Linked DNA regions of Neurospora crassa OR74A. The protein of the gene in region 2 interacts with the protein of the main gene of each other region in a pairwise test. Links are inferred from orthologs where the notes say so. Each region holds a gene or a part of one and is shown on either strand. Other genes may lie near its edges.

The links.
Region 1: the proteins of NCU08324 (region 2) and NCU06340 interact in binary tests that used the Saccharomyces cerevisiae proteins (3 or more experiments, as listed by UniProt). The link is inferred for Neurospora crassa OR74A from reciprocal best matches to the Saccharomyces cerevisiae genes HGH1 and CNS1.

The regions. Positions count from the first base shown.
Region 1 is NC_026504.1:2,847,234-2,856,715, reverse strand, and holds NCU06340 (TPR repeat protein), read right to left. Parts: upstream 5,990-9,482; 5' UTR 5,702-5,989; coding exon 4,286-5,701; 3' UTR 4,142-4,285; downstream 1-4,141. Other genes in the region: NCU06339 (APSES transcription factor Xbp1), read left to right, coding at 1-1,701. UniProt on the Saccharomyces cerevisiae protein: Co-chaperone that binds to the molecular chaperones Hsp90 (HSC82 and HSP82) and Hsp70 (SSA1). Stimulates SSA1 ATPase activity, but not Hsp90 ATPase activity. Involved in only a subset of Hsp90 functions.
Region 2 is NC_026504.1:2,396,620-2,406,596, reverse strand, and holds NCU08324 (DNA-binding protein HGH1), read left to right. Parts: upstream 1-3,624; 5' UTR 3,625-3,784; coding exon 3,785-3,805; intron 3,806-3,875; coding exon 3,876-4,025; intron 4,026-4,093; coding exon 4,094-4,207; intron 4,208-4,280; coding exon 4,281-5,063; 3' UTR 5,064-6,210; downstream 6,211-9,977. Other genes in the region: NCU16789 (hypothetical protein), read right to left, coding at 1-683, 979-1,054; NCU08323 (bystin), read right to left, coding at 1,497-1,657, 1,734-1,874, 1,929-2,147, 2,216-2,388, 2,452-2,580, 2,642-3,261; pho-5 (inorganic phosphate transporter PHO84), read left to right, coding at 7,804-8,277, 8,341-9,579.

The DNA.
Region 1 (9,482 bases), about 450 kb from region 2:
TCACCTGCCAGACGTCCACTTCGGACAGCCTCCTCTGGGTCTCAAGAACGTCATCACCACCATCCTTACCCCAACCAAGAGCACCTAGACCACCAACAGCAGCAACAACGGACGGTATGCTCTAGAAGATGCCCCGCTGAAGAGAACTCTTGTGTAGATGCTAGGCCGCAGCTGCGTGGTATCTCGGCACCGATGCCACCGGCTGGAGAGTGGACACCACCCCTGCTGCGGTCAAGTGCAGGTCGCCCTCGTCCTGTGATGCCGACATCGACACACTCTTCTATCTCATACCCTGAAAGGGCACCTCACCGTTCAGCATGGACAGCGGTAAATCACCAGCCGCCCAACAACTCCCTCGATAGATATTCACTCAAGCGCCCACTTCCCTCCAATGAGCCTGATGAGTCGGTATCGCATTCGAACTGGCCATCCCGTAGCCAAGCTCCCAACCCATGGCTTACTGCCATTCCACGCTCTCCTCGAAAAACATCCTCCTCCCCATGGGCTTCTCAACCAGGCAGCGCCAGCAGGAGTAGAGCTGGCAGTATTGACAGCATGGCCAGCCAACATCCACAAGGATTACCATCCCCTTCTCTCATACTATCCTCACCATCGTCTTCAATGGTATCACTTTCATCATCTAACTCTCCCAGCCCAAGACCTCAGCTACCACCCATCTCCCAACTCTGCTCATTACCTGTACCTTCTGGTCGGCGGAGGCTTCCTAATGGGAGGCCTTCCCGAGTAGGAGGTGATGCGACTAGTAGTCATTCTCGTCAAGATCACAGCACTTGCGGCGCTTATCAATTTTCCGCCGGATACCAAAGAGCACTCACTCCTCCATCATCAACATCGGCGCCGATGCACTGGAGGAGCCAAAGAAGGCCAAGCCTACAGGACCAGCATGAGCATGAGCACATAGAAGACACCCAGCCCAGGAGAATAGCAGTAGAGGCAAACATGGAATGTGGCGACGATAACGAAAGCCATCTGCATCTCCCACTACCACTACCTAGGACTTCCTCCTCAGCTTCCATTGTGGCTGACAAAAACGCGAATGACACTACAAGCGACAATAGCAGCAGCCGGAATTTCAATTCCGCTTCCATTGGTAGTGGTCGCGATGATGGCCAAACAAGTCTTGCAGCTCGCAAGACGGCGGCTTTAACACTCTTGCATCTGAGACAGCAGGAAGAAGAGAAGGAAGCTGCTGCTGCTGCTGCTGCTGCTGCTGCTGCTGCTTACTCCTCTACCAAACGACCAGAATCACCTTCATCTTCTCTTTCATCACCAGTCTCTCCCCCGCCCACTTCTGGTCAACCATCGCCTACGCTGTCGGCTGTGGTTACTGCTACCAATTTGAGAAGGGGTACTACGACTGCTACTGCTACTGCTGTTATTGACACTACCGAGCCATTGGCACCACCTCCCTCGCCAAGTAGCAATTACCTGGGTTCACCCATCTCCACTTCCATTGCTTCTTCTTCTTCTTCTTTTTCTCCCTCTACAAGTTGTAATGGTACTAGGGAGAACTCGGTCGTCGCAAACGAGATGACTAGATATGCTGGGCAAGAAGCTGATGCTGGTGGTCCGCGTCACTGTAATGGTGATGCGGATGATGAAGGTGATTACGAGCACGAGCAACAATACAGAAGGAAGAGGAGACGATTGTTGCTTGTTGGGAGGGCAAAGTCATTCTGAAGGGACACAAATCAAGATTGTTTGCATGTGTACATTTAGGGGAGAGCCAAAAACAGATTCTTGTGCTGGGGAGAAAGGGCGTGGCAGATTCTTTGCTTGATGTTGGTATTGGTCCTGTTAGGAAGGAAATCACGGTTGTGAAGAAAGAGAGTACTATCATTACAACAATTTTTCCTAGGAGGAGAAGGGAGAATAGGGTTAAGGCACTGCAGTGAATAAAGGGAGGTGTTTGACATTCGCGAAGCTTGTGTGCCTTGTTTTCATTTCTTTGCTTTGCTTTGCTATTTGTAGATTGCATCAAACAGACTGTCGAGAGTCTGTACTCGGCTATTGAAGCCCGCGGATTACGGGCGTCCGTTCCCTGTTTGAATATCTTCTTAGATTTTGCTACATTGTTACCGTGCGTTGAGTTCCATGGCAAGAAATAATTCGTTGGCTATGATATTCTTCCTATCTTTGTTCTGATTTTTGACGATGCTTTTCTTGTTTCCGAAATTAATCGGCAATGCTCGACAATTTCTTTGATTGTCTGAACTATGAAGCTTGACGAGATGCTATCTACCTAGTGATTTCGATGCGATGGATGACACAGCACTGGAATCTGTATTTTGCCACATCCAACACACTTTACTGCCGAAGATGGCAAGAACAACTATCAACCGTCCACCACCTAGTGCTCGATCAAGACCCAAAGACCATGCTCCCACCCCCTCTGGGTAGCTCGCAAGGAACAGGCAAAACTCCCACCCTTCGAGAAATGACAAGCGTGTGTATCGTCTGTTCTTCGCTTCTGCCTTCCCTGTTTTACCGTCGCAGTTACTTGATCGCTTCACCGGCTTGGATCAGATCTATTTGGTTGGTCTCCCCCCATGGTCACAGGCAAACTATGCCCGCCTACCCTCACCAACCCAACATCACACAACGCACGCACGCACACAACCACAGCAGAAGGCAGGGAGACGGGAGGAATGAGGCAACAGCTAAGGTACCTCCACCCAGACGAGACCTCTTGGCTGCCGAGAAGATAAAGGATAATCGAAAAGAAGAGAACCTTGACGGCTCGGCCATTACGGTAGAATAAGTATCTACCTTACATAACACCAAATTATACATCCGTCCCCCCCCTCAGCTATCAAACGGAACATCACTATGTTAATCCTCTGGCAGAAGAAAGCGCAGCCCGAACACAAGGGAAGGCACGACAGGCCAGCGTTACCTAGTGTGGGTAGGTAGGTAGGTACCTCTATCATCGTACTTGCCTGACATTCTCTATTTGTTCTTGCCCATCGTTCTTGTCTGCCTGCTCTAAGTACCGGGTTATGTACTAGTAAGTATTTACACAGCACTTCGTTGCCTTCACAGGACGAGCACGAAGGTGCACTGGTACGGCGGTTGCCTCCTCTTTTCCCCCTTTTCTCCCCAACAAAAAGAAAAAGAAAAAAAAAAAGAAGAAGAAAAAAGAGAGAGAAACGCGAACTGTTTGAGCGTCGTCAAGAAAATCCATTCTTTGCCCAGTTGCCATCGGTTGGATCGCCCATTTTCTTGTCAATACATGTATTATCCAACATTATACCTTGTTTGAAGGTGAATTGGGTACTCTGAGGTACCTACCTGTAACTTCTTTGTTTCTTGGTACGTCTGAGCACACATCATCTGACCCCTCCACCTTTTGATCCTATGACTTTGCTTCCTATTTCCCGTGACCGGATATTTTCACACTTTTCTTCAACCATCCATCGATCCAGTCATTGACTGTCTGAGCTGATTGTGTGAATAGAAAGTCTTGACTTGATAGTCACAGCGGGTCGAATGAATGATATCTGGCGCTTCTCTCTCTATTTTGTTTGGTGTACCCTCTCTTCATTCCCTGCAGTAGCAGCTTAGTACCGCCTTTCATCCCTTCATCTCTTCTTCTATTGTGGCCTGTTTCGATAACAGCGTTGAGATATACAGAGAGGGAGTCTCTCCATAACGTCTACTTTGATGATGTAGAGAAGGGCATGATCTATCCATCGGCGATCCACAAAAAGCGACACTGAGGTAGAAAGGTATCTTTGTTTTGACTTGTGGCTTGTTGATGGACTACAAAGCATGTTTGTTGTGTTGGACCTTGCTAAGGGTCTGCTGGGATTAGAGTACTTGGGTTTGGCTCTGTCTGTGTTATGAGGAAAATAGAGGATGGAATCCTTAGAGACTTGCAAAGAGGAAGAGTTAGGATAACTCCTTGATGATGGAAACCCTCCAGAAAATTATGAGGAAGAGCCGGAAGCTGGAAGTGGTGAGAATTGAATAATACCCTACCAAGAGTAGTTGCTCGAGAGCAAGATTTTCAAATGACAATTGAGATCAAAATGAAACAACTAAACACAGCGAACAAGATTATCCCATGACCCTATATTGTGACTGATATTGCAACAGCAATCTGCAACTACTGAATGTCTATGTAAACCGCCCATCCATCCAGTCCTCCTCTCCGTTTTTTTTTTTTTTCTCCCCGCATCATATGCATCCTCCCACTCAGCTACCTTGGGTATCATAAATTCTTTTCTCGTCCTCCCTCTCATCCTTATCGATTTTTACTCACTCATTTCTTCTCTCCCGCCTTCTTCTCCTTCCACTCCTTAATCCAGCCCTCCGCTTTCTCCCCCTTCGGCACCACAAATATTCTAACCAACTCATCCACCACCTCCGTCTTCCCACTACTCAACACCCTCAACAAGCTCGCCTTTTGCGGGACCCTGATCAGCCCGCCGCTGACACTCTCCATGTAACACTCCACTTTGTCGGGTCTATCATAGTCCCCCTCCTCATCCCACGGCATGTCCGGCAGGATATACTCCAAATGCTGGCCCACACTTTCGGTCTCCCTGAACTCCTTGATAAAATCACTCTCCAGCTTCAAGGGGTACAGCAGCATGACGGGGAAACTCAGCTCCGACTGAGGGTCAAGCGGATCAGGCACAAGCTGGATGCAAGCATCCTCCATCGAAGGCGGGTCATCGGTCGAGCGGGTCTTGATACCGCGTGCCTCGAGCGCCGCTTTCTTGAGCGTCTTCTTGCGCCGTTCTTTCTCCAGACGCGCCTCCTCGGCCCGCTGCTTGCGGGTGATTTCCTCGTTTTTGGCAATCAGGTCGCGGGCGAGTTGCTTGAGGGCGGCGTTGGAGGGGTCGATCTCGAGACCGCGCGCGCAGGCGTCGTCGGCCTCGGCGATCTTGGAGACAGACAACAAAGCGCGGCCGGAGCGGTACAGGGCTTTGAGGTTGGATGGGTTGAGACGGAGCGCGGCGGCGCAGTCGAGCGTGCAGGAGCGGTAATTGGCGAGCGACAAATGGCAGGCGGCGCGGTTGCAGTAGAGGGTTTCGAGCAGCGAGGCTTCTTGCTTGATCGTCTCCTCCTCGCTTAGCTCGTCCTCCTTCTTTTCCTCTTTATCTTCTTTTGCTTCCGCGATAGGCATCTCAGCCTTGACATTCTCCAGATCCGCCTCCATCTTGGCCTTGGCGTCACCCTCCTCCCGGGCCTTGCGCGCCTCCTCCTCCCGCTTCCGCTTCTCCTCTTCGACTTTCGCCTTGAAGGCCGGATCCCGTCTCTCCCTGTCGGCCTTTACCAGCACCGCGATGCCCTTGCCATAAAACTCCTTTGCGTCCTTCCACTGCTTGGCCTTGAAGCACTCATTTCCTTGCTCCTTGAAGTTCTGCGCATTCTCAAGGGGGGTGCCCTCGTACGCGAGCGCCTGCAGGGCAGCGAGCTCCTCGTTATCCTCGTCGGAGGGCAGGGAGGTCATGAAGAGGGGGTGCTTGTTCATCTCCTCGAAGGTCTCTTGGACCGTCATGGGTTTGGCGTTGGCGGCGAGCGCACCGGGAGGAAGGTTGCCAAAGAGGGCGGAGAGGTCGGCGCCGGGCGGGGGCGGAGCTGGGCCGATGACGGCCGGAGCTGACGACTCAGAGGCGTCATTGTCGTTAGAAATGTTGAGAGACTCGGCGGATTTTGTAACGTCCTCCATGTTGGGCGTTGATTGTGTTGTTTGGGTTTTATGGTAAAAGTGAGACTCCCGCTCACTCACTCGAGGTTGTTGTTGTTGTAGAGTGTGGACTTTTCCGTTGCTGATGTCGAAAATGACGAAACTTGAAAATGAACTCGGACTTGTGACGCAACGTATTCGAAGATATCGCAAGTCCTGTGTGTAGCTTTGAAGCGCTTAGGATTTCCCTCTGTAAGACAAAATGAAGTAACCTGTTTTGTTCACTTGAGAAGTCGAATAATCTCCTAAATTATCAAGGCTCAGTGACATTCTTCGAGCTTCTTCTGGATTTCTGCTCCGGGAAACTTTTAAGTGGGGCCAGTGGAAACATTTTTACCGCAGCGGGTCCGGCTCCGAGGTGGAACCAACGGCCCGGAGCTGCGGGGGCGGGGCACCAAATCACAGTAGGAACCGGTATCGAGCAGCGGCAAGGATGAGAGGTTTTCCATTGTACTCGTCCGGAGATTGTGTTAAGATGGTTGCAAAAATAAAAGGAAGCGAACGAAAAGGCAGAGAAGAGCGTCCGCAGAGGACGGCTTGCAAACATGCAAAAAGAAGATTTTACTGTGATCCGACCCAGGCTCGATCTGGGGACCTTCAGTGTGTTAGACTGACGTGATAACCAACTACACCATCGGACCGTGTTATTGTTGAATCCTGTTTTGAGGCCCAACCCCTATAAGCCTATTCCTTGAAACTTTCCCACTCGACACTGTTCAGATGATGCCTTTGTTACCACAGGAACTAAATAGTGCTGGAAAAGGAAGAATGAAACTGCAAGAATTAACACTTCCGCCGTTCTCCATGACTGAAGTGCGTGCTATCATCAAGAACTTTACACCTGTAGTCTTGAGGTTGTCTGTCCATGGTGAAAGATAGCACCACGATAAAAACCAAGATCAAACCACCTCATACTGGGTTCGTGCAGCGGCACGTTGCGAACTTTCCACTTTTCATTATTCCCCTCTCAGAGTCCTCTTCCTGAAACATGTTCCTAACTACAGAGTGGTAGAGATATCACCTTTCAACTGCCTCCCGAACAAGTGATTCATCCGGTACGAGAAGATCACACGATGAGACGACAATAGTCATGGGTACCGATCTGTTCACGTTGTTTGCGCCGTACAGTTTTCTTTTCTAACGCAACACCCGTTTTCGGCGTTCCCCGTTTTGGTGTGCTGGCGCTTGGCCTGCTGGTTCTTTGCTTGCTGTGTCCATATCCTCTAGGCATCTAGTATGCTGTCAATGTTGCCAGAGTAGCCACGTCGTTCCGCGGGTTTGTGTTGTTATTTGGGTTGATGGCCAGAGATTAACGAGCCGATGATCAGATTTGTTTGATCTGATTGTCTTCGGCTCGCGTCAACCTCATCGAATTGGATGTGGCTAGCTCTAAAAGAGCCTAGGAGCCTAGAAGAAAACGGTTGACAGGGCCTCTTCCAAGATAGCTCCTTTGGTCGACTTCAAGAACGTGGATTTGAGGATGAAAGAGACAAACGCTTCAATACTGGGTATGCTACTCTTACCAGTCTTGCTTGGAGACACATTTTTGTTCTATGCATAGCAGCCTTGTTAGAGAGGAAATGAGATAGGCTTATCTGAGCTGGCTGATGCCTTAGCGAACTGTTATTTGCCTTCTCGGGATGGCAGATATGGTACTTGTCCCCTTCCACACAGCGGCCCGAAACCCTAGCCCGGAGAACAGTCACTTCCGACTTCTTGCATGAAGCACTGCAAACCCATCGGACGCCGATATGATGAGGCACGTCAGTAGGTATTCGTGTCTGCTACAGGGCTGCATGCATGTGATATCTCGCTATGTATTAGTTCGCTTGGCTGTTCTATCCTTGCGAAGCGGCGCAAAAAGGGAGATAGGGGCGCAACCCATAACTGGTAATCCGACAATTGATGGATTCCCTAGCTCGGTAGTTCTGCTGTGTAAGGCGGCAAACCAAATCATACTCGCTGGTGGCGTAGTATCTCACGGCTCGGATATGGGACTGGTAGGGACTTCTGATGAGATACTTAGTCATTTTGATGCGTGTAGGAATCCGTTAATGTTCCGATGCTGAACGTCTCGCCAGAAAAAAAGAGGCAAAAACGGACGGAGAGATGTTGATAGGGCTATGACAAGCGTGTCTCCCCATTGTATGGATCCCCAGAAAGTGCGGAAGCAAGATATTGCGAAATATCCCAGTACGACTGCTTGTACAAAGTAGTCCTGGAATTGAGTAATCACCAGTACAAGGAACGCGTGCGCGGGGTAACGTCTTGACTTGGTTGATTTCCCATAAGGCAGACGAAAGGAACGATGCCCAAGGGTGTGTACGTTGACGGCTGTTCGAGTACATTGTGCTTCCTCAAGATGGCGTCAAGCTAGCGCCCTGATCCCAAAACCTTTCGAGTCGAGGAGTTTTGATGCATATGCAGTAGCGTGACACAAAGATGTGCTTGCATGGAGGCTGGGTGGGAAGACCGGCTGGGTACGGGTCATCTTGACCAAGGTATCTTGAGCCGGCGTTAACCCGGCCTCGGGAGAAGTACGGAAGCTGTCAAAGGCTGGCCGATAACTGATGGCTGAGACTGGGCCTCTTGAAAATATTCCGACAAGAATAATAACCAAAGTGCAAATAGTGATACCTCACTTTCCAGGTAGCTCACGAACTATATCCTCCATGCTTGACGTAATCAGTTGGTGCCCCTTTCGTACACCAATGCAATTGGGCCCTGCAGGAGGATGGATTGTGTAAACAGGGTTGAGAAGAGAGTGAATGGGTGTGGTATGCATACAGTTCTTCTGAGAAACAGCTCTGCGGGCACTAGTGAATGTATATGCAGTACAGTATTGTAGTAGCAAAAGGCGGCATGGGTCGAGTTATCATCCATCCGTGGTTGCATCTTCAGTTCATGAACAAGGGTCAGCAAAAAGGAGAACATGGTATTGATGGGCTATGTAACTCCGAGAGCAGGCCAGGGCGGGTGACCGGGTATTTGCAAAGTGACATCGCCCTGGAAGATCCGGCCGGGTACACGCAAGCCGCATCAGGGTGGGTGCATTGCAGCAGCCAAACCAGACTCTGCAGGCGGCAACACTACTGTGTATAGGTAGGTATGTACTAGTGTATACTATGTGTATATCCGTACCTGGTGTTTACCGACGAGTGAAATAATGGAAAATGCCGAGTGCAACCATGACCATGCCGACGAAGAGGGGATTGCAGGCATGCAACATGATAAGCTTCTCGCTCTTTATTGAAGAAATTTTGACATTGATAGCTTGCAATGTATCGGATCGATGAGTTGTCGTTCTTTGTCCTGCGAGATGATGATAACGGCGGAGCAAGAAAAAACTGGCGATCTGACAGTGAGAGCATGTGAGGACATGATGGTCTATGAGCAGACTCGGAAAATATATAAAACGGGGATGTAGAGTTGACGCCGAAGAGATGGTAAAATACGTTCCAGGTGACGGAGATGGCTCGAATGAAACACAGTGCCGGCCTAGATTGTCATCTAGAATCCTAGGACCGGGTACCTATGTAGTAGCTGAAGCTAGTGTAAGATAAAAAACGATGCGGGAGGGGCGAGAGCCTTAGAAACGCTTTTCCGGGGTCGGCCTCGATGCTGCATATGATGATCATGTGCGTGTAACGGTCATTAGTCTCACTACGAGACATCAACCAGCACTTTCCACTTGTTGTGTCTGGTTTCACCGCTAGACGCCGGCGAAGGGCTGGAACAATCTTCGGAGTTTGGCACTTCCGCT
Region 2 (9,977 bases):
TAATGACCTAGGAGTTTGGAAGCTGTGTTTTGGTGCGAGCCACTCGCTTTCCACAAGGCTGGTGCTGGTCAATAGATGTACACCTGGGCTTTGTAAAGCAAGGATATGAGCCTCCTCGGTACGAAAGGGGCTATGTGGGGAGGTAGGCGTATTGTTTGACGTCGATAGTTGCTGTTGTGGTTGGTTCGTCTTTGGTGAAGCTCTAGACGCGTCATTGTCGTGGCTTCCGCTTCCAGTCTTCCTAGACCGTCTTCTCCATTTCCAAACTTTGGCCTCAGGGGTTCTGCTACTGGCTGCAGCGAAATCAATCGGTCGAAACTTGCGCTCGGCCCAGTACCCCTCCGGATACCAAACCCATTCATATCCTTCTTTGGGTGGCCGAGGGGGGTCAAGGTCGTACACCCCTCGAAGAGAATTGTCTTTGGAGTTACGAACCGATGCGCCGCTGATCGATGGCACCCTGCTCAACGACCCATCCAACACTGCGCCACCGAGGCTAGGTAAAGAGCTTCTCCTCCGTTTCTCGCCTTGATACCAAGGCGACGACGAGAGGCTCATCGCAAGTGAATTGAACCGCCTTGAAAGTGTGGCCACCCGACCGATGGGTTCCGAAGGTTGGGCAATGCCTTGTTGTGCTGCTGTATTGATGTAATCGCTGTTTATCTGCCCAACGGGGGAAAGTACTATATTGAGGTTGAGGTGGTGTCGGGATTCTTAGGCGAAACGCCAGAAAGCAGCGCCGAAAATCCTGATCTTGCGGAAATACTGAGTAGAACTTGGTGTCTCGGGGTAAGAAAGCAATCTCAAGAATAAATAGGGAAACGAGAGGGGCGGAGTGCTTAGAATGTTCGGGTTGACCGGGTGTTAGGAAGAGAACACTAGAAACTCGTATGGTAAAAGCACCTAATACGGGATGATGCCATCAGATACACGAGATATCGAAGTAGGCGAGAGCTACATTGCCTTCTTTCCCTTTACACTGTTCTCTCAGGATTCCGACAACGTGGCAGAGGATCGCGGTTGCCTTGGACTTGGAAAAATGGGAGAAGGGCATTCCAAGCCAGATTGACGCAACAAAGAAGTCAAAAGGCAGCTTCCTTCACATAACTGAAAATGATTATTCCAAGGCTCCTCGACAATTCCTGTTGCTGTACCGGGTATCTTGAATTTATAATTTCGTGCACTAAAGCATTACAGGTCGTCAACAATTATGTTGCTGGTTGGTCAGCACCACTAAGATACAAAGGGTAGTACATGGTGACTGACTTGGCATGACCACTTCCTCTTCAAGCGGCGTGATGAGTAGTAGCCACTGTCGAGGCGTGACATAGTATTATCAAAGGGGTCAATGTCTAAGGACTGCCCCAAGCCACCAAGGTCACTAAACAACACGACTCCCATCTCTATGCGCGTACCAGGTAAAAATGAGCCACATGTCCTCGTTGCATACCAAGGGTTCATCGTCTATAAGTCATTACCGGATCACCGATGTTTCTTCAAGCGTCCAGCATCGTGTCATCGCCATCAAATCCGGGTTGCGCGACAGGGACACCACCTCCGCGACCTGCGAGAAGTTCTCGCCTGATCTCGGGCGAAATCTTGTCATGGCCGTGAGTTAGGAGAAGATCCAGGAGAGCCTCTCGCTGGTCCTCAGTAACTACACAAAGACCGCGGTTAGTACTCAAAAATAATAGGGACGCATAGTGAAACAGCGACGGAAGAAGCAAACTCACTGTTCGTCTTGTATCTCTGTGCAAATGAGAGCATGCACTGATGGAAGATGACTGGTAAAGCGTTGGGTGCCATATGCCCGCCGGTGGCGAAAGCGGGATACCGAAGAAAGTGGAAGACGAGGGCATCGAGCGCTTGGAAGGCTGTATTACAAAGTCAGAGAATACAATCATTGGCACGCTAGGAATTGGACTTACGCAAGGCGTGACGTTTCTCAATCAGAGTCTTGAGGAGGAAATTCGTAGCGCTAACGCAGTCGAGGCGCTGAGAAGCCTGCGCAGAAGAAATTTCGCACAAGCCCTTAATGGCCATACCGGAATGAACAGCCGGAATGGTGACCCGGGTCAAAACACCGGCTACGATCTGCGCCTCACGCAGCGAGCACGTTCCGGAAGCCGCCAAAGGAAACAAGAAGCCTGCCAACGGTTAGCTGGGTTGTCCCTTTTGAGCAAACCTGACTAAGCGTAGGCAGTAAATAACACACCTTTGAAGAAACCACCAGGCTTGTAGAGGGCCTTTTTTAGGGAGTTGAAAAGATGGACATTGAGCTTCTTGGTCTCGTGAATGTCCTCGCGGACGCGTTCTAAGATCACCATCTCCATAAACCGTTGAAGAACAGCCTCCTTGGCGGACGCAAATATCCTGGTGGCCGCGTAGCTAACAATCGCAAATGTCAGCAGCGTTTCTCTGGCTCCCGAAAACAGGAAGAAGCAACCATACCAGGCATTGGGAGTCCAGGACTCGGGTTGTGTAATGGGCAAGATGTCCTCCCAGTGGGGGATCTGAGGAAGGACCTTGAAAGGCTTGGGAAGCGGCCCAGATTTGTAGCGAGAAAGAATCATGCCAATTCTGCGAGAAGGAGTCTGTCAGTAGTCTGCCAAGAGGGTAACAGAAATAACGGCCAGCCTACTTCTCAAACACTTCCATCACCTTTGGGGGGATCTCGTAATCCTCATCAATTGGGCCAGGCTCGTCGCGGTACCCGCCTTGGGGGCCGCCGGCTTCCTTCTCTGCGATCTTGGCAAGAATAAGGTCCGCCAGGTTCACGCTCTGACCCTGCTCTTCTGCCCCTTCTGGCTTTCCATCCCATCCGTGTGTTAGGAGCGGGTCCTCGTTCATTGTGGGTGTGATAAACTGGTTGAATGTCTCGAGATCGGTGGCGTCGACTTCGATTTCCTCTACCTCCTCCTCCTCTTCCTCGCCCCAGGCCTCGTCGTTCTCAAACTTGTCGTCTTCGTCATCGTTGCGGTCGAATCTCGATGGATCGAACTCGAACGCCGAAGGAGCAGATCCGGAGGCTGCGTTTTGTGTTGTCCGGAGGTTCTCCTCCTCCTCGATGAGGCTACGGCTCATAGCCAAAATGTTGCGCGAAGCCTTGGCGTCGACATACTTTTGCTCATCTTCGTCGTTGGCGGCGCGAGTGTTCTTGCTCTTTTTGCCGGAGTTGTTCTTAAGGACGCCGGTAGAAACGAGGTCGGCCTCGAGGGGGTTGTGGCGCCTCTTCGACGTCGCCGCTGTTGTCTTGGGCATCTTGAATGGCGGTAGGGTTGTGCAATCGGGGGAAGAGTTGATGATACGGAGCTCTCCTGGTTGTCCCCTCTCTTTGCGATGTCGACTTGGCTGCACACGGCAATTGGGGATATTTTTTTCGGCGACCCTTGGACAATTTGTTCCCGCCGTGGAGAAGTCTGGGCACTTGAAAGGCTTGCGCTACGCTTGTGGTTGGTCACTTCTTTGCTGTGTGGGCACACTTTATTTTCTGATGCCAGGGCGGTGAAAATGATAAGCGGTACAATACCTCTTATCGCTTATCGTCTAGCTTGGACGCGCCCGGCGGAGCAGCGATAAACATTTTATTGCCCCGCATTTTCGTCACTGTGCCCCTCTTCGGTTGCAAATTCCTGGAATTTTGTTCCCTGTGTTTACAGTTTTTGCAGCTTGGCCCACTGCATGAATAAGAGCAAGGGAAGTCGCGACATCATAGCCTCGCTCGCCACGGTTACGAGCTTATAGCAAGTCCAATACAACCATACATCCAGCTACCATTGATAACATGCCGACCGAACTTGAAGAGGTAATTCTGCCAGAACCAGTGCAGTGTCAATGTCAGTGGACAGACAACTAATCGCTATAATCGCCTGAAGCTCGTGGGCTTCATTGCCTCGCCGAACGCCAACATCCGCCTTCTCGCGACAGAGAACCTGGTGCCCTTCTCAGCGTCTCAGCCCGCCCTCTTCAAGACCGACGAGCTCACCCCCATCAAGCATCTCAAGTTCTTGATCCGCGACCACCCGGTAGGCCCAACAGACTTGTCTTGTTTGCGCCCAAGCAGCTTCAGCTAAGACGTCGGTACCATGTGCAGAAAATCGCCGAGCACGCCCTAACATGCTTGATCAACTTGACTGCCGAGAAGGATGTGCTGGAATACGTCGCGACCGATGATCGCTTCCTTGGAATCCTCCTCGGGCTTCTTGTCGTATGTGTATCCATTCTGAGCTCCTACGGTGCGTGCGCAGCAAGGACTAACCGCTTCGATCCCGTTCCTATAGGAGCCCGAGGAGGTTAACGCCAATCTTATGGCTATGTTGCTGGCAAACTTGACCAAGTGGGATGGACTCAAAAGTCTTCTAGACCGGAAACAGCCCGCTCCAGAGAAGCTCAAGTCCGACGATAGGGTCATTAACCAACTAATGGACCTCTTCGTCAAGGGCGCCGACGGGACTTACAACAAGCACGCCGATTACGACTACCTCTCCTACGTCTTTGCCGACCTTTCGAAACATGAAGAGATCCGGCACTACTTTGTCAACAGACAGGACTACGACGATGTTATTCCAATCAACAAGATCAAGGTCTTTACCGAACACAAGTCCGATATCAGGCGAAAGGGAGTGGCGAGCATTATCAAGAACGCTGCTTTTGACATTCCTTCGCACCCGGCGTTTTTGGATGAGGATGACGTCAATATCTTACCCTACATTTTACTTCCTATCATGGGCGGCGAAGTTTATCCCGAGGATGAGGCATTGGAAATGCTTACCGATCTTCAGCTATTGCCTCCAGACAAGCAGCGCGATCCCGACAGCAGCAACATCCTGACACACCTAGAAACTCTTACTCTCCTCACCACAACGAGAGCTGGCCGCGATTTGATGAGGAGCATCAGTGTTTACCCCATTGTTCGGGAAACCCACCTGCGTGTTAATGATGAAGCTGTCCAGGATGCTTGCGAGCGGTTAGTAAATGTACTAATGAGAGACGAAGCTGAGGGCGAAGAGATTGAGGGAGGAGCAGCGACAGCAGAAGAAGAGGACGACATCGTTGAGGTTTAAAAATCTTGAGAATGAACCAAACGCAGCTGGTTTCGCTCCATCAGCGCCTGCCCGAAACCGACAGCCCGAGATTGGTATGCCCATACGTTATTTACATACCGTCTGGAAGCACTTTGGGTACTATGATGCTGAAAGTTGTTACACCGCCACACACACAGCCTTACCAAGACTTTACTTGTCCCTTGGGTCGAGCTCCCCACAGTCACCATTGCACCGTATTGTTATGCATTCACCAGCGCCGTCAACCTTGGCAAAAGCTTGAGGGTCTTGGGTATCTTCCTGTGCTTGTATCGACGAAGACGCCCTTCTTTCGGATCTGTGTCATGATGTCATCCAAGCCCACCAACAACGCACTGGAAGAGTGCTTCTGCAGAGAACAGAAAGCTTGTGTGTCAAGGAGGGAAAGCTTGTGCGATGGACTGGAAAGCTTGTTTTGGATGACAGAGCCAATGAAGTGGCACAAAAACTATACGTGCTCACGATATGGTCCCGGAAGTTTATTGACACCGGCACGGCTCGCTGAATGATGTTTGCCGCACAACATACAGAGGCATGGGACGCACCGGGCACTTGGGTTGTCAGATCAGCTTGGCATACGCAGGTTGAGCACCAGATTCATCGGGATTGTCTATACCGGTTTGTACCACAACACCAGACTGAATCTCAGACTTCACGGTACTGCGAGTTGTTTTCGTAGGTCTATCAACCTCCAGAATGGGTCGTTGTTAACGAGAGGAATAATCCGTAGTTGATATGCCCATGCCGTGGTCGAAGTCAGCGCTGTGATTGGCCGAGCATTGCGGATTTGCCAATGCATATCACACGATACGTGCTGAAAGCCTGAAATTGAAGGGTCTCCCTATCTTCAAAGTCACACACGCGGCCCCCGTGCTTGCTCGAACATGCATAAAGACAAGCTGGTGGCCAACCTTGGAGCTCAAAGCGAGATGCCTTGACGCGAGGACTGCTCCAGTCCCCACTGATGGAAAAGCACATGCCCTAAACGAGGATTTGGTGAAGATGAAAGACATGTCGCTCATGTCTTCTGTTGTGTGCGAAATCACGGATGATTCCGTGCTCTGAAAGAACATGTTTCGACGTCTCACTCACAGATCAACAATGGTCGTTGGTCTTGGTGGATAACCGAGTGCGTGGCTCGCGTGGGCAAGTGGGTGGGTGGATTCTGCTGTGACAGGGGCTTACGGAACCTTAAAGGATCCATCGAACCAATGGTGGAAAGGCGAACCACCGCGCGTTGTGCTCACACGTGTGGTCTCTTTCCCTGCGATTCGCGGGGAAGACCCTTCTGAAGGTGGGAGCGGCTCTTTTCTGGGGTTGTAGTGGCCCCTAGCGGCCCATGCAGGTGGATGTGCCAAGATGCCAAGTGAGGTTAGAGGCGAAGACAACGTCCGGGGGTCTTGACGGGGCAGGACGGGGCAGGACGGGGCAACAGACCAGTCCAGACTTTGCTACCTGAGACTTGCCTCGACCGTACGCAGTACACTACACCAAAAACCGATGATGAGATCAGCTTTGTGGAGTCGTTCTCGGACACCAGGCATCCAACATGCTCCCTTCTCGTGTATGATGTTCCTGGCGCTGTGGGCCAAACAGGTATTAGACTTCGCCCATTATGCAGCACTCGGGCACTTCCGGTTTGCAGGAGGCCAGGCACAAGAAACACGTTTTTGTAAACGACAGATCGGCGACCTTTTTCTCCCTTTTCCTCCCCTACGGCCGACGGTTGGTCCGGTCGGAGGAGGGGACCCGGAGATAGAGGAGCTGGACATCGGGATAAGCTTCTGGAAAGAGTTTTTTAGACCGGGCGTCGATATCGATCTTGTCCCAAAGCCGAGGAAGCTTGTTGTCGAGTTTCCAGATGAGGGAACCCCCACCCCGTGAGCAACGGGCCAATCAGGTGTAATGCTGAGCCCACGAGCTTCATGCCTCCTTGACACTGGATACCCAAGCATCAGCCAAGCACTTCTGCACTTGAGCACTTGCAGCCAACGGCTGGGTCTGGTCTTCGGTATGTGATGCTCTTTTGCATACGGACCACGCTCAACGACGTAGGGTAGTGTCGCTGTGAGAGGCGCACTGGGCGCCCAGGCATCCAAGACGCTTCCCGAGTGCAAAACTGCACCTTGGGGCATTATGCCAAGTAATCGAAGCTTTCAGAGTTTTGCCTTAGTTACCTCCACTGTCTTGTCTTGGCCAAAACTGAGTGCGTGGTGGTTGAACAGCTCGCTGGACATGGTACGCTACCCACGTGTCCGTAAAGACAGGTTCTCTGTCTCGGGTGGGAGGAAGATGGCAAGGGCATTATCGTGCTCGTTGTAGGGGAGAGTGAGCAGGATGGATTTGCTAGCTCGTAAAGGCAAAGTATCGACTGATCATTGGTGTGGGAGGTGGGTGCGTCAAACAAACTATTGAGGATATCCCGCGGGACTGCGTGATGTCTCGGAAATTGTCAGTAGCTTTCACGCCATCCGATGTGAATACCTAATCCTGGGGACACTGTAGTCCCATTCCTCCTGCAACGCTATAAGATAAATTCCCACGCATGCCAACTCCTTCCTTTCTTCCTATTTTCCTCGACAGCACAAGAGCCAAGTCCTTCCGCCCTTCTACCTCCCTTGGTTCCCATCGGACCACCAAGGCTCTTGACCAAGTCCGACTTCGTTGTCTTGAGGACCAACAAAGGCTCAAGTATCCGATACCGCCATCGCGACAACAAGCCATGAGTACCCCTCAGAAGACTGCCGGAGGCAACAACGCCTACCACAACTTTTACAATGACTTTCTTCACATCAAGGATCCCAACGAGAGGCGACGACTCGCCCTCGCCGAAGTCGACAGAGCGCCATTCGGATGGTATCACGTTCGGGCCGTTGCCGTTGCCGGTGTCGGTTTCTTCACAGACTCTTACGACATCTTCACCGTCTCTCTTTTGACCCTCATGCTCGGCATTGTCTACTTCCCAGGCGAAGGCAAGATGCCTACAACCTCCGACACAGCCATCAAGCTCGCAACATCGGCCGGCACGGTCATTGGGCAGGTCGGCTTCGGCGCCGCTGCTGATGTCTTTGGTCGTAAGAGCATGTACGGATTGGAATTGTTGTTCATCATCTTTGCCACTCTCGCTCAGGCCTTGGCCTCCGGGTCACCTTCCATCAACATCATCGGTATCATTATCTTCTGGCGTGTTCTTATGGTAAGCAATTATTCAGACGAACCCCTCTCACAAGAAACGTATAACTAACATCTATTACAACAGGGGGTCGGTATCGGTGGAGACTATCCTCTTTCCAGTATTATCACCTCCGAATTTGCTACAACCAAGTGGAGAGGTGCCATGATGGGTGCCGTCTTTGCTATGCAAGGTCTTGGCCAGCTTGCTGCCGCATTCGTCATGTTGTTCGTTACACTCGGTTTCAAGAAGTCGCTTGAGGCCGCCCCTACTCTGGCTTCGTGCACCGGAGACTGTGCCGTTGCCGTTGACAAGATGTGGAGGACAGTCATTGGTGTCGGTGCTGTTCCCGGCTGCATCGCGCTCTACTACCGCTTGACTATCCCCGAGACTCCTCGCTACACCTTCGACGTCAAGAGGGATGTTGAGCAGGCCAGTGACGACATCGAAGCCTTCAAGACGGGCAAGCCCAAGGGCCAGCCCGACGAGGCCACCCGCATCGTCGCTAAGCAGGAGGCCGAAAAGGAGATGGAGATCCCCAAGGCCAGCTGGGGCGACTTCTTCCGCCATTACTCCAAGCGCAAGAACGCCATGCTGCTCGCCGGCACCGCCCTGTCTTGGTGCTTCCTCGACATCGCCTACTACGGCGTCTCGCTCAACAACGCCACCATCCTCAACGTCATCGGCTACTCCACCACAGGTGCCAAGAACACGTACGAGATCCTCTATAACACCGCCGTCGGCAACTTGATCATTGTTCTCGCCGGCGCCGTCCCCGGATACTGGGTCACCGTCTTCACCGTCGACACTGTCGGTCGTAAGCCGATCCAGTTCATGGGCTTCGGTATCCTCACCATTCTTTTCGTGGTCATGGGTTTCGCCTACAAGCACCTCTCGCCTCACGCGCTGCTCGCCATTTTCGTCCTTGCCCAGTTCTTCTTCAACTTTGGTCCCAACGCTACCACCTTTATCGTGCCCGGCGAGGTGTTTCCCACTCGTTACAGGTCTACCTCGCACGGCTTGAGCGCCGCCATGGGCAAGATCGGCTCTATCATCGGTCAGGGCGCCATTGCGCCCCTGCGTACCAGGGGCGCTGTCAAGGGAGGAAACCCAAACCCGTGGATGAACCACGTGTTGGAGATCTATGCTCTCTTCATGTTGCTTGGTGTTGGTACCACTTTCTTGATTCCCGAAACGAAGCGGAAGACGCTGGAGGAGTTGTCGGGCGAGTTCGATATGAGTGGTGAGGAGGAGGCGCAGAGGGATACGACCCTCACTGAGCATAAGACGGAGGCACCCACGAGTAGTGCTGCTGTGAACGCTTGAGGAGGTGTCGGCCCATCAAGGGTTGTTGGTAATGGCACGTGTTTTCCATTCTTTTTATTGATTTATGATATAATGGCTTGTTGGGGAGCAGACCAGGGCAGGAGCGATAGAACCTAGAGAGAAGAATGGTTGTCTGTTTGGTGGGGGTGGGGGGAGGTGGGGGCAAAAACAAAAGGGGAGCAGTGATAGAATCTGGTGCGGGAGGAATCGATAATACCCGGAAATGTCCAATGAAGAAGAGATGATGACTACTTGGAATATCTCATGAACTTGCGCTTCGCTGTATGTAGTTGATAATGTGATGTATTGAGAATGAGACGAACAAGACGAGAGTGTCTCAAGAAGGTTCACGTGCCTCGACTTTGTTCGTAATACATTGGAGATGTGTATCGCAACTG